Linked DNA regions of Nothobranchius furzeri. The protein of the gene in region 1 interacts with the protein of each later gene in a pairwise test. Links are inferred from orthologs where the notes say so. Each region holds a gene or a part of one and is shown on either strand. Other genes may lie near its edges.

What was found.
Region 2: the proteins of dusp12 (region 1) and eif5 interact in binary tests that used the Homo sapiens proteins (3 or more experiments, as listed by UniProt). The two-hybrid records come from large-scale screens. The link is inferred for Nothobranchius furzeri from reciprocal best matches to the Homo sapiens genes DUSP12 and EIF5.
Region 3: the proteins of dusp12 (region 1) and ppp2r3b interact in binary tests that used the Homo sapiens proteins (3 or more experiments, as listed by UniProt). The two-hybrid records come from large-scale screens. The link is inferred for Nothobranchius furzeri from reciprocal best matches to the Homo sapiens genes DUSP12 and PPP2R3B.

Annotation. Positions count from the first base shown.
Region 1 is NC_091751.1:58,772,340-58,776,651, forward strand, and holds the start of dusp12 (dual specificity protein phosphatase 12), read right to left. Parts: upstream 2,801-4,312; 5' UTR 2,737-2,800; exon of another isoform or gene 2,661-2,736; 5' UTR 2,568-2,660; intron 1-2,567. UniProt on the Homo sapiens protein: Dual specificity phosphatase; can dephosphorylate both phosphotyrosine and phosphoserine or phosphothreonine residues. Can dephosphorylate glucokinase (in vitro).
Region 2 is NC_091758.1:10,703,318-10,706,827, forward strand, and holds the end of eif5 (eukaryotic translation initiation factor 5), read left to right. Parts: coding exon 1-29; intron 30-230; coding exon 231-392; intron 393-472; coding exon 473-634; intron 635-1,782; coding exon 1,783-1,947; intron 1,948-2,078; coding exon 2,079-2,219; intron 2,220-2,471; coding exon 2,472-2,570; 3' UTR 2,571-2,872; downstream 2,873-3,510.
Region 3 is NC_091754.1:29,703,486-29,707,580, reverse strand, and holds the start of ppp2r3b (serine/threonine-protein phosphatase 2A regulatory subunit B'' subunit beta), read right to left. Parts: upstream 2,939-4,095; 5' UTR 2,793-2,938; coding exon 2,732-2,792; intron 2,458-2,731; coding exon 2,075-2,457; intron 1-2,074. UniProt on the Homo sapiens protein: The B regulatory subunit might modulate substrate selectivity and catalytic activity, and might also direct the localization of the catalytic enzyme to a particular subcellular compartment.

The DNA of each region.
Region 1 (4,312 bases):
CAAGATAGCTGCAATATGGCTTTATTAATGTAGTTTCCTTTCCTGTGATTTTTATTTTCTTTGATTTGTCAATATCATAGAATAACTATTTTTAACATACCGTAAATCCTCTAATACAGGCCCGGGCCTGTATTTGACTCAAGCTCATCAAGCTCCAGGCCTTTATTGGAAGGAGGGCCAGAATTAGAGGCAGGCCTCTATTTCTACTTGAGCAAAATGAACTAATGGTTCGCTGGAGTTTTTGACAGTTAAAATTGCGCCCACATTTTCAAAGTTAAACACATTTCTTTTAACAACGGTAGTTTCTGCTTCAGCCATCCCCCCCCTCCCCTTGCGCAGCGGCCGCAAACTCACTGATGCGCCTGCAGCCTCTTGGAGTTCCTGCTGCTCTAAACATTAAAATAATTATTTCATTTTCTGTTCCTCACTTCTGATTACCTTCAATGGTGTCTGTTTGTTGCAACCACCAGGTACAAAAATTAACTTGTTTTTATTTGACCACTTTTCTGTCCTGTCTGTTTATTATCTTCCTGCATCTCCTCTCAATCCTAAAGAAAAACTGCTACCTGGGTTCATATATATTCACCCTATGAGTTACCTTTGAACTGCAAGTCTAAAAGATCTACCGACCGCAAAAACAGCGGAGTGCTCGCTGCTTGGTGGCCGCATCAGTGATCGGTGCATCACCGGATGACAAGGTAATGCGCCCCGCTCCACAGTGAAACACATCAGACACAAATAAAAGACAGAAAACATTAAAGGAAATGAACCAACATGAACGATCGCGTGTCAAATTAGTTTTTGAGGTGGCGACACCTGATTTGATAATGTTACTGTGGCCGTGCTCAGGACGCAGATCTACCAACCGCAAAAACAGCGGAGTGCTCGCTGCTTGGTGGCCGCATCAGTGATCGGTGCGTCACCGGATGACAAGGTGATGCGCCCCGCTCCACAGCGAAGCGTATCAGGCGCAAATAAAAGACATGTCAGTGTCGCGTGTCAGTACCGACGCTCTGGCACAGCGCGTTGCCCCCCCCCCCCCCCCCCCTGAGCGCAGGAGCTTGTCACCTGCTGACAGCAGGCTGCTGTCTTTTCCAAGGGCTGCATCTTGCCGGTCATTATCACGTGACAGCGACTAGTCGATGACAGGCATAAAAAGTCACTATAGTGAAGTTGACTATTGCTCCCCAGTGTTCTGCAGCGCACGTTCTCTTTGAACTTGATATTGTAATGACCTGGCTGGGGTTGTAAGCCAGGTGCATTCTGGGTATTGTGTTATATGTGTTTCCTATCATTCTGCTAGTTCCTATGTGTTGATTTGCGTGTTGTGTGAGTGTTATGCTAATGTAAGCCACAGGGAAGGTGATGTGTGTTCTGTGGAGCGGGTTGAATTAGCATGGTTAACTGACACCGTGACTCTTGTGTGGTAGGAGCGTGATAAGAGGATTGGTGTCTGTAGCGTTACAAACTGTTGAAGAAAAATCCCAATAAAGGTCTGTGTGAACCTCTGCTTCCTCCTGCTGGTTGATCTGGGGACTATAAACCTGCCGCTGAGACGCTCGGGGTCGCTACAATATCAAATTTTCGCCTCCTCGTCATCTCTGCACGGTTAAAGTTACCCTCGCGGTCTATCACTGGCAAATCAAAAGTGAGACGATGACACAACCGCCCCCCGTACTTGCTTGTTACCACATTCCACCCGGCCACAATAAGAGACCGGCCATTATTCACCTCCGCCGACTTCGACACCGGCCAAAATATGAGACCCGGCCGTTCATTGAATACAGGCCTGTATTAGAGGATTTACGGCACTTCCAAGTACTTTGTTATTACATTTTTGTTCACCTAATTTAAATTTGCCAATTTTCAACTCAGGAAGTTTAATCACCACATTTGAATTAAGCAAGGTATTTTTCCAATTGGTCGGGTTCTCTCGAGGGATCATGGGAAACGTAGTAACACCATATTTCGACAGAAATTCTATTAAATAGCAGTTTTTAATCAATGAAGTCTTATTTATTTGACAGTTTATCAATAAATGACGTACTTGATGGTTTTTCCTCAATTAATTTATGTCAGATATAATTATTTAAGCACATTTTAATGGAATGATATTTTATATAAAAACAGAATTCTCCTAAACCTTGGTTACATATAGCACAGTATCAGTTATTTTTCACTACTGTTGGCCAAAAAAATAAGAGCGTTTGTTAAGGGTTTTAACATTTGTGTAGATACGCTATGAGCACACATAAACATTTATTCAAGAAAAACATTATTGAAAAACACAAAAGTATACATTTCACTTCCTAAAACCACTCAAATTATTTCAGGGCAAAAAAATAAAATTTGCAGGCTGGGTGCTTCATCATAACCTTATTAATCTAACTAACATTCATTCAGTCATGACAACTTGCCAAAATGTCGACCTTCATTTGAAATATTGCTGAAACACTTATAATTACAAGTGTACCTTTAATTTATTATTAGGGTTTGCTAGATTGTTTTAAAAACTTAATTAATCTTTAATAATTCAAAAAAAAAAAGAAAAAACTGACTGAACTCACCCAGTTTTCACAATGTGTCAAGAACCCACGAAGTCACGCAGTCACGCGGCCAGTTAGCTAACCTCGTTCTTCCAGCTTCAGCTGTTTACAGTTCTTAATAATAAAAAAAAGCATCAACAATTACTGTTCAGCGCAGTAAAATACTAAAAAAAATACAAGATCGACGTACAACTGCGGTCCTGTGGTTTTTGGTTCGTCTTTAAAATGGTGTCGTACGGAAACATGGTTAGATTCTTCTGTTCCAGCCTTGAAAAACATAACAAAAAATCTCCTTTAGTTACGTTTAAAAACTTTTCATTTCTGAAAATATTTAAAGATTTCAATCCATAAATAATTGAACTCGTTTAGATTCTTGAACCCAGCTAGTTGCATAACATTTTTTCTTTATCTCAGTATTAAATATTTATAAGAAATATGATGCCTTATGATGATTACTAGTTGAGAAGATGAAATGACTAAAAAAACGAGTAAATAGGATTTTATATATCTGCCAATCAGGAAATCAGAAAAAAAATTAATTTCACACAGCAACATATTAAACTAACAAATTTTTAAGACTGCTTGATTTCACGATGCTTTTGATTTTATTTCTATCTGTTTGTATCCTTTCACGTGGCATTTGATTGCTTTATGAGGTATTGTTCACATTTTAAAAATTGTACAGGGCTTTGATCAATGAAAGTTGTTTTAAACATGTTAATAAAATAAGTGATTGAAACCTGATTGGAAGATTCCATCATGCTAAAACGTAAAATCTTAAAAACAGGAACAAGTTACAGATGCCACAATATGCTTATTCAATTATGCTGAAGGTTACATTTAACCAAAAATATTCAATATAAACAAAAAGAAGTCATTCTCACCACATTAGAAATATAAAACCATGAAAGTCTCTATAAAGTTATAATAATGAAATAAAGAAAACAAGAGAGGAAATAGAGTAAAATACCAAAGACGTGAGGTAATGTGAGTCTGTAGTCCACACTGACCACACACAGTAAAGCTGAATAAAGTAAATGATGATCTTGTTTTCTCTCATGAACAGTCTGACTTTGTCGGCTGCATTAAAAGAGCAACAATTAAAGCAACAGTTGAAAGAATCTCTGTTCGTCTTTCTGTCATGTTTGTAGTTTCCAGACTCTCTTTAAACACATCATGTCTGTCTGGTGTGTGTGTGTGTGTGTGTGTGTGTGTGTGTGTGTGTGTGTGTGTGTGTGTGTGTGTGTGTGTGTGTGTGTGTGTGTGTGTGTGTGTGTGTGTGTGTGTGTGTGTGTGTGTGTGTGTGTGGCGTTCTGAATGGCCCGCCAGTGTTTCGGCCCACTGTCTGGTCACTGTGTGGGGTTCTAATAAAGCTTTATGAGTTTCTTTAATCTAACCATCTGACCAGTACAACACCCTGCTGGGACTACTCCCCTCTCATTAGAGGGCTGCTGAACAAACATAATTGACTGTTAGAAAATAGGCAAATATAAACAACACAGAGTTCCAGCAGGTGAATGGGGACATAACTGGGTGTGTTGGTGTGTGTTTGTTCAGTTGTTCTACCAGATGGTCTGTAAGACTTTCAGCAAACCATTTTCAGGCTGTTAGACGACGGGTTTATGTAACTGGGATGCTGTCTGTTGGGTTGTGGTTACATTACGACATTTGTTTACCACTCAAACAGCTCAGTGACCTGCTGAGTACCACAGTATGGATTTTACTCAAAGTGTACACACCAGTAGCAGATCTGCTGGCCGCAGCTG
Region 2 (3,510 bases), on another chromosome or scaffold:
AAGACAACATTGATGCCCCTGAAGCTGTGGTATGTTTTTGGTTCGTCATGCACACATTTGGCATTCAGCTAGATGGATTCATCCACAAACAAACCCCCAAACTTTGTCCAAAAATAAAAACTACAACATTTACATCCAGTTAGGCTCTTTTTCTGATTTTAAGGTAACAAATTAAAAATTTTCCATGAGTTTTGTATAAACGGACATCTGCGTGCCCTTCTGGTGTTCAGGATAGAGACGATGATGATGAAGACTGGGCAGAAGAGACAACTGAGGAGGCTCAAAGGCGTCGAATGGAGGAGATCAGTGACCATGCCAAGAACCTCACGCTCAGTGAAGACCTGGAGAAGCCTCTGGAGGAGAGGGTCAACCTCTTCTACAGCTTTGTGAAAGTGAGACTCTGTTCAGCTTGGACTTAGTAGATATAAAAACGCAATTAACATTTGTTTTTGTTTCCTTAATGTAACCCCAGCATAAGAAGGAAAGTGGAACCATCGATGCGGCTGATAAGGAAGTCTTGGCGGAGGCGGAGCGTCTGGATGTGAAGGCCATGGGCCCCCTCATCCTCAGTGAGCTCCTCTTCAACGAGAACATCCGGGACCAGATCAAGAAGTACAAACGCCACTTCCTGAGAGTATGTTCTAAACGCTTCCACAGCCAAACACGACTTCATATGTTTACACGACTGACTGCTCGTTGTAGACATGAACGTAAAACCTTGACCCTAAGAGTTAGTTTAGGGTGGACGAACTGATGAGGAACACCTGGAGGCTTGTGTTGGAAAGTGCAGCTGCTTTACTTTGGTTTTTGCGGTTGAAGCCTTCTCCGGGTCAGGGATGAGGTCCTGCCCCAAGTGGAGGAGTTTAAGTATCTCGGGGTCTTGTTCACGAGTGAGGGAAAACTGGAGCGTGAGATCGATAGGCGGATTGGTGCTGCATCTGCAGTGATGCGGGCGTTGTACCGGTCTGTCGTGGTGAAGAGAGAGCTGAGTCAGAAGGCAAAGATCTCGATTTACCGGTCGATCTACGTTCCTACCCTCACCTACGGTCACGAGCTTTGGGTAGTGACCATAGGAATGAGATCGCAGATACAAGTGGCCAAAATGAGTTTTCTCCGCAGAATGGCTGAGCTCTCCCTTAAAGTGAGAAGCTCAGTCATCCGGGAGGGGCTCGGAGTAGACCCGCTGCTCCTCCAAATCGAGAGGAGCAAGCTGAGGTGGCTCGGGCGTCTGATTAGGACGCCTCCCTGGTGAGGTTTCCCGGGCACATCCAACTGGCACGAGACCCAGGACACGCTGGAGGGACTACGTCTCACCTGGCCAGGGAAGGCTTTGGGATTCCCCATGTGGCAAGGTGAAGACGAAAGAGCTGGACCAAGTAGCTGGGGAGATTGCTACCCTTTAAAGCTGCTTTTACATAAATCCTTTTCTTATTTTTAACTCAAAATCTTTCATTTGTTTTACTTTTTTCAGATGTTAATCTACTTCTGTTTTGAGATCATTATGTATTATTTTGTTTTGATCTTTGTGAAGCACTTAGTGATTCTACGTCTGTGATGAGTGCTATATAACTAAGTCTGGGCATCTAAGCCACAGGCAGAAGAGAAGGGATGGATGGGAAAATGTGTTGAAATGGAGAGAGAAGTGGTTTAGTCAAATGAAATCCTATCGGCATAAAATCAACGTTGTCCTTATTGTTTCAACAATCGTTGACTTTAAAAGATGAAATGAACAGTCCTATATGGAGATTTTTTAAATGACTGGCGGTTAAATTCCCCCCACAGTTCTGTCACAACAACAAAAAAGCCCAGAAGTATCTGTTGGGAGGCTTTGAGTGTCTGGTGAAGCTCCACCAGGTCCAGCTGCTGCCACGCGTCGCCATCATCCTCAAGGACTTGTACGACGCGGACCTGCTGGAGGAGGACGTCATATTTGCCTGGGCCGAGAGGGTGAGTCTGCGAGTGTTGGCTGTGTCTTTAGTCAGCCTGTGCTGGTTTTATGGAGACCCAAAGGAAATGACCTGAACTGGATCCTCAAGTTTTTATTAAAGTTTTCCACATATGTACTTGTGTGCCACCAGGTTTCTAAGAAGTATGTCTCCAAGGAACTTGCCAAAGAGATACACGCCAGGGCTGCTCCTTTTGTCAAGTGGCTCAAGGAGGCAGAGGAGGAGAGTGAAGGCAGTGAGGAAGAGAAGGAGGAAGAAGATGAGAACGTTGAGGTAAAATGTTTCCTTTTTGCTTTTGCAAGTGAAAGACATTACAGTACAAGCCGGTCGTTTGTATTTGTGGAGCGCTGTCATTTTTTACAATTAATGGATTTATTTTCATTATTTCTTAAGCTAATTTTCTCTAAAGGTCGTTCGGCTGTGTACGGTTGCTGCCGTGTCCGCAGCAGTCTCATGTCGTGAAGATTTTGTATGTGAATCTGCAGACTTGGGTAAATGCGACGTTGTGGGTGTTTTGTGCCTCAGGTGGTGTACTCTTCCTCTGCCCGCGAGCTCAAAGTTGAGACTGTGAAACCAGACACGCCTGAGAAGGAAGAAGAAGATATTGACATTGATGCAATCTGACAAATTTGGATGCTTCTGCTTTTCTCTTGTGTTGTGGTTTTGGCTCACAATGCCCTGTACAACATCAAATGCTTGGCTTTTCCTTCGACTCCCACCCACAGTTAGCCAGCCGCCCCCTCCCGCTTCATGGCTTGATATAATATAATGTTTTATTTGCTGCAAAGTAACTCATTCTAATCTGTATTCATTTAATTAGATGTGTGGAGTTTACTCAAAGGTGTATGAATCTTTGTGACTCTACCCCATCTCCCCCTTTTTTGTAGCTTTTTTTGTCAATAAAGATTTTTTGCTATCCACCTCAATTAATTGGTCTGAATGATTTATTATCCATTGTCTAAGTAACTATTAATTATTAGTGTTTCTTTGCAGTTTTATCTGTTTCAAACAACCAAAGCATAAATGATTTAGCTGTCAGCAAAATGACATTTTTCTCTTCACAACTCGGGCGCTTTCCCTGTCAGCCTGACTGGTTCTAGTGTTACCAGAAGTAACGGTGGCCATTACGATCTTCACTGACACTCGGCTTTGAACCACGCTGCTAAAAAAGAAATTGAACACAAAAATAAGACATTTTAGATCTGAATCAATTAAATACGTTGGCGAGCGCCTGGCTTTCACCCATGGAGCCCGGCCGGGCACAGTCCGAAGGGGAAACATGGGTCCCCCCCTCACATGGGCTCACCACTCGTGGGAGGATCTAAACGGGTCAGGTACAGTGTGTAACGTGTAGTAGACCTTGGCGGTCTGATCTCGTTACAGAAGCTGGCTCTTGGCACACGGAATGTCACCTCTGGTGGGGAAGGAGCCTGAGTTAGTGTGAGGTTGAGAGGTTCTGACTAGATCTAGTCGGACTCACCTCAACGCATGGCTCTGGCTCCGGATACAGTTTCCTTGATAGGGGTTGGACTGTCTACCACTCTGGAGTTGCTCCCACTGAGCA
Region 3 (4,095 bases), on another chromosome or scaffold:
TATAATTCTTGCTGTCAGTATTTGCAAGATATTGGTATTTAGGTCTGTACTGGTTAGACTTACATGAGTTAAACCAAGGTCTACAGCCCTTGGGTCATAGACTATGAGCTATAAGTATATTGGTCTTTTTATACTGGCAATCAGGAGTTATTTTAGTGATCATCTTGTTTCTTATTTTTGTCCTGATTGTGCCCTGAGCAATTTTATGACTGAATAAAAACAAATAAAATCAACATAAATTGAAAAATCGTCCTAAATAATCGTGATCTCAATTTCAGTCACCATAATCGTGATTATTATTTTTGCCATAATCGAGCAGCCCTAATTGAGATGAGCCCTAATGTTCTTTTTGCTTAACAGTGTTTTACGTCTTGGAAATCTGCCATGCAGACCATTTTTGCCCAGTCTCTTTGTCATGGTGGAGTCGTGAACAATGACCTTAATTGAGGCAAGTGAGGCCTACAGTTCTTTAGAAGTTGTCCTGGGGTCTTTAGTGACCTCTCGCATGAGTGGTCTCTGCGCTCTTGGGGTAATTTTGGCCGGCCGCCCACTCCTGGGAAGGTTCACCACTGTTCCATGTTGTTGCCATTTGTGGATAATGGCTCCCGCTGTGGTTCGCTGGAGTCCCAAATTTTTAGAAATGGCTTTATAACCTTTACCAGACTGATAGATCTCACTGACTTTGGTTCTCAAAAGTTCTTGAATTTCTCTGGATCTTGGCATGATGTCTAGCCTTTCAGGTGCTTTTGGTCTACTTCGCTGTGTCAGGCAGCTCATATTTAAGTGATTTCTTAATTGAAACAGCTGTGGCAGTAATCAAGCTTGGGGGTGGCTACAGAAATAGAACTCAGGTGTGAAACACCACAGTTGGGTTATATTTTAACAAGGGGGGCAATTGCTTTTTCACACAGGGCAATGTAGGTTTGGATTTTGTTCTCTCCCTAAATAATAAAAACCACCATTTCAAAGCTGCATTTTGTGTTTACTTGTGTTATCTTTGACTAATGGTTAAATGTGTTTGATGATCAGAAATATTTTGTGTGACAAAACATGCAAAAGAATAAGAAATCAGGAAGGGGGCAAATAGTTTTTCACAACGCTATACATTTCTATTATAACCTAAACTATCTACCTCTGGGCTGTTTTGTTACAAATGAGAGATTTATTACACAACCTACAAACATCACGAGTGCCAGAAAAAGGCTTGGCACAGACACTCCCCCCTCTCATACCACATTTCTTTGTGGGTGAGGTTTGAACACTAGGAACATATTTAATTAATACCTATTCAAGGCCTACAGACACATACACTTGACAGTTCTGGGAACCTCTTAATGGCATCATCCCTGTAAGGTCCTCAGCAGCCTCTTGTGGCCAGCCAGGGGAGGAAATAGATCCCAAAAAGATACAGCTGGTGTGCTGTACTCACAAATGTGGGAGCTTCCCCCCTCAAGAATGCATGTTTTGCAATGTAACTTGTACCATCACACACACAGAAACTATTCATTGGTTCACAAAAAAATATAAATAAAATAAAATAAAAAAAATCCCAGAAAAACTCCAGCTAGGAAGATTTTAATATACTAATTTCAGCTGTTAATGCCCAGGACGAGCTTTTGAGTTGTGATGTCAGACTGTTCATCATTACTAAAGTTATCCCTTTGTTTAAATGGTAGTGAAACTTCTAAAGAGCTGTAATATTCTAAAGAATTGGTCATTATTAAAGAACTATTAGGCAGTAATATTGTATTTTTACCGAAGATGTCTGGAATCACTGATTAAATGCTCAGCATTTTTCTTTAACTTGTCAAAAATATAACTACATGCTACTAAAAAAACATGATTTTTCATATATTTTATGTCACAAGCTCTTATTTACAAGTATCATGTGAAAACATTTACGTGATGTTGATATGAGCACCCTTATATGAGATCCCTGTGGTAGGATAACTTTAAAGCCAGTCAAACCATTTATTCTAAATTACAGTTTTAATAACAAAAAAATTATGTATGACTAAAACATGTTAGAAAAATTATATATGTATTTTTTAGAACTCATGCTTGAATCATTTACCTTTTGTGTGCTGACAGACCTCCTTAGTACCCTGCTATTGGGTCCAGTCACTCTGGTATTACTGCTACTGCGAGAGGGAAGCGTACTGTTGGGCTGGGTAGCGGACGGGGTACCGATGGGAGCAGGTTTTTTCTCTGCCCGGTTCTTCTGGGACGCCACATTGTTGTTTTCATTGAAACTCAAAGCCTTTTTGTCCTGGGCTTCACTGCCCACGTCAATATACTGTCCATTTTTGATTAAATCAAGATAATCCTTGAGGACCGCCTGGGTTTCAGGATCACTCAGCCAGTTCAGAAACAACTCGTCCACCTTTAGTTTAAGAACTGGTTGGAGTAGTTGTTGCGACGGCATCTTGCTAACTACTACTGCGTTGAGGTTGACACCTGTATGGGAATAAAGTAAAGTTAGCCATTTCAGTCAACACTCACTATTGAATCTAAGCGCGAACCATCAATTTTAGCTACGTAAACTTCTTTTACTGCGATTATTTACCCGCCATTTTAACGTTACTGTGATGCAAATAACTAAAAGTTAACATTTCATTACTTAGCATCACATCACCCTGCAAAAACACGCTGTTGTTGAAATCACTAGAACTACGACTGTTAGCTAGCATGGGCAAGCTAATGTTGCCTTCGTGATAAAACTATTACAAACCTCGCTGTGAGGGGACGACAGAGCCAAACACTGATAATTCATGACATCGTGGTTCCTTCATATGCGACGCTGCTGCATGTCTCCTTGAACTAGTAGGATAAACAAAATCAGATCTCTTATTAAATTGTCGATTTCTGACAGAGAATCTCAGTACTGTAAACAGAGCAGACAACTTTTTAAAATCCCGTTCCCCTTGGTGACAGCGTCGTGTTATCGCGAGATTATATGCAAACGCTCTTCTGAAAAGGGAGACTGGCGTCTCACTGCTGCTAACTTGATAGATTGACACCTCCAAAACACTTTAAGTGCAATTTAAACACATTTTTTGTTAATTCAGTGTGTGAAAATCTCACCAAAAGCCCTAAAACAAGATTCCAGCTACAATGTTTTGTCCAGGACTTTATAATATTTTGACTGAAAGCATTTCTTATAGATTTTCTTTCATAAAATCTGAATGTGTGTGTGTGTGTGATTGCACATTCTTAGACTGATTTACACGACCATGAATGTTAAACTCTGAAGATATAAAGGTAAAACAGAAAAAAAATCAAATACGTCCAACTCTATATCAGAAATAAATATGATATGATAAATATGATAAAAGAACCAGATTTTAATGGTACAAAAACAGTTTCCCTTGGAAATATTTTTAACGCTGCTAACAAAACCAACAATTTAATAACGGTTTGTTTCTGTAAACACAGTTTTGCTAGGTAATTACACTGCAAGCAGCACCACAATTGGATCCAAACTAATCTGTCCAACTTGGCAATGACATATGCAGCTGTAAATACTTGTTTTTATTAGAACTTTATACCTCACATCACAGCATGATGCATTCTTTATTTCATTTAAAGCTAAATTGGGCTGTTTGAGAAAGAGGTTAGCTCTGCTTTGTATTTATTTGACCAAATTTGACAGTTTTAGATGTTTTTCTTTTATTTATCTCCATCATTAAATACATTAGAGACACCCATCACTCCACCACTGCCTTGTTGTTAACAAGCACATTCACAGTGCCTCTGGCCTTCTTGTTAAGATTAACAGTGGTTCTATAGTTGTGAAAATTATTGACTGCGTTTTCCCTTATCTGTCCCTTGATAACGCGGGTAAATCCAATCTGAAGCATTCAAAGTTGTCTGAGGCACAACGTGTAATGAGAAATCTCTTTGTTCTGTGTAACAACTGGCCTAACATGCGTTTTAGAGCAAAATCAATACCCGAAATGAGGAGAGAAAAAGTGAAGGTCTAGAAACTTTAAACTTTGCAACTTTTCAAAGTGTAATTATAGTGTACAAATAGGATTTTACCCAAAGCGGTGTGCATGTTTTCTTTTTTTATGCCTTGAAGGACGTTTCAAAGGT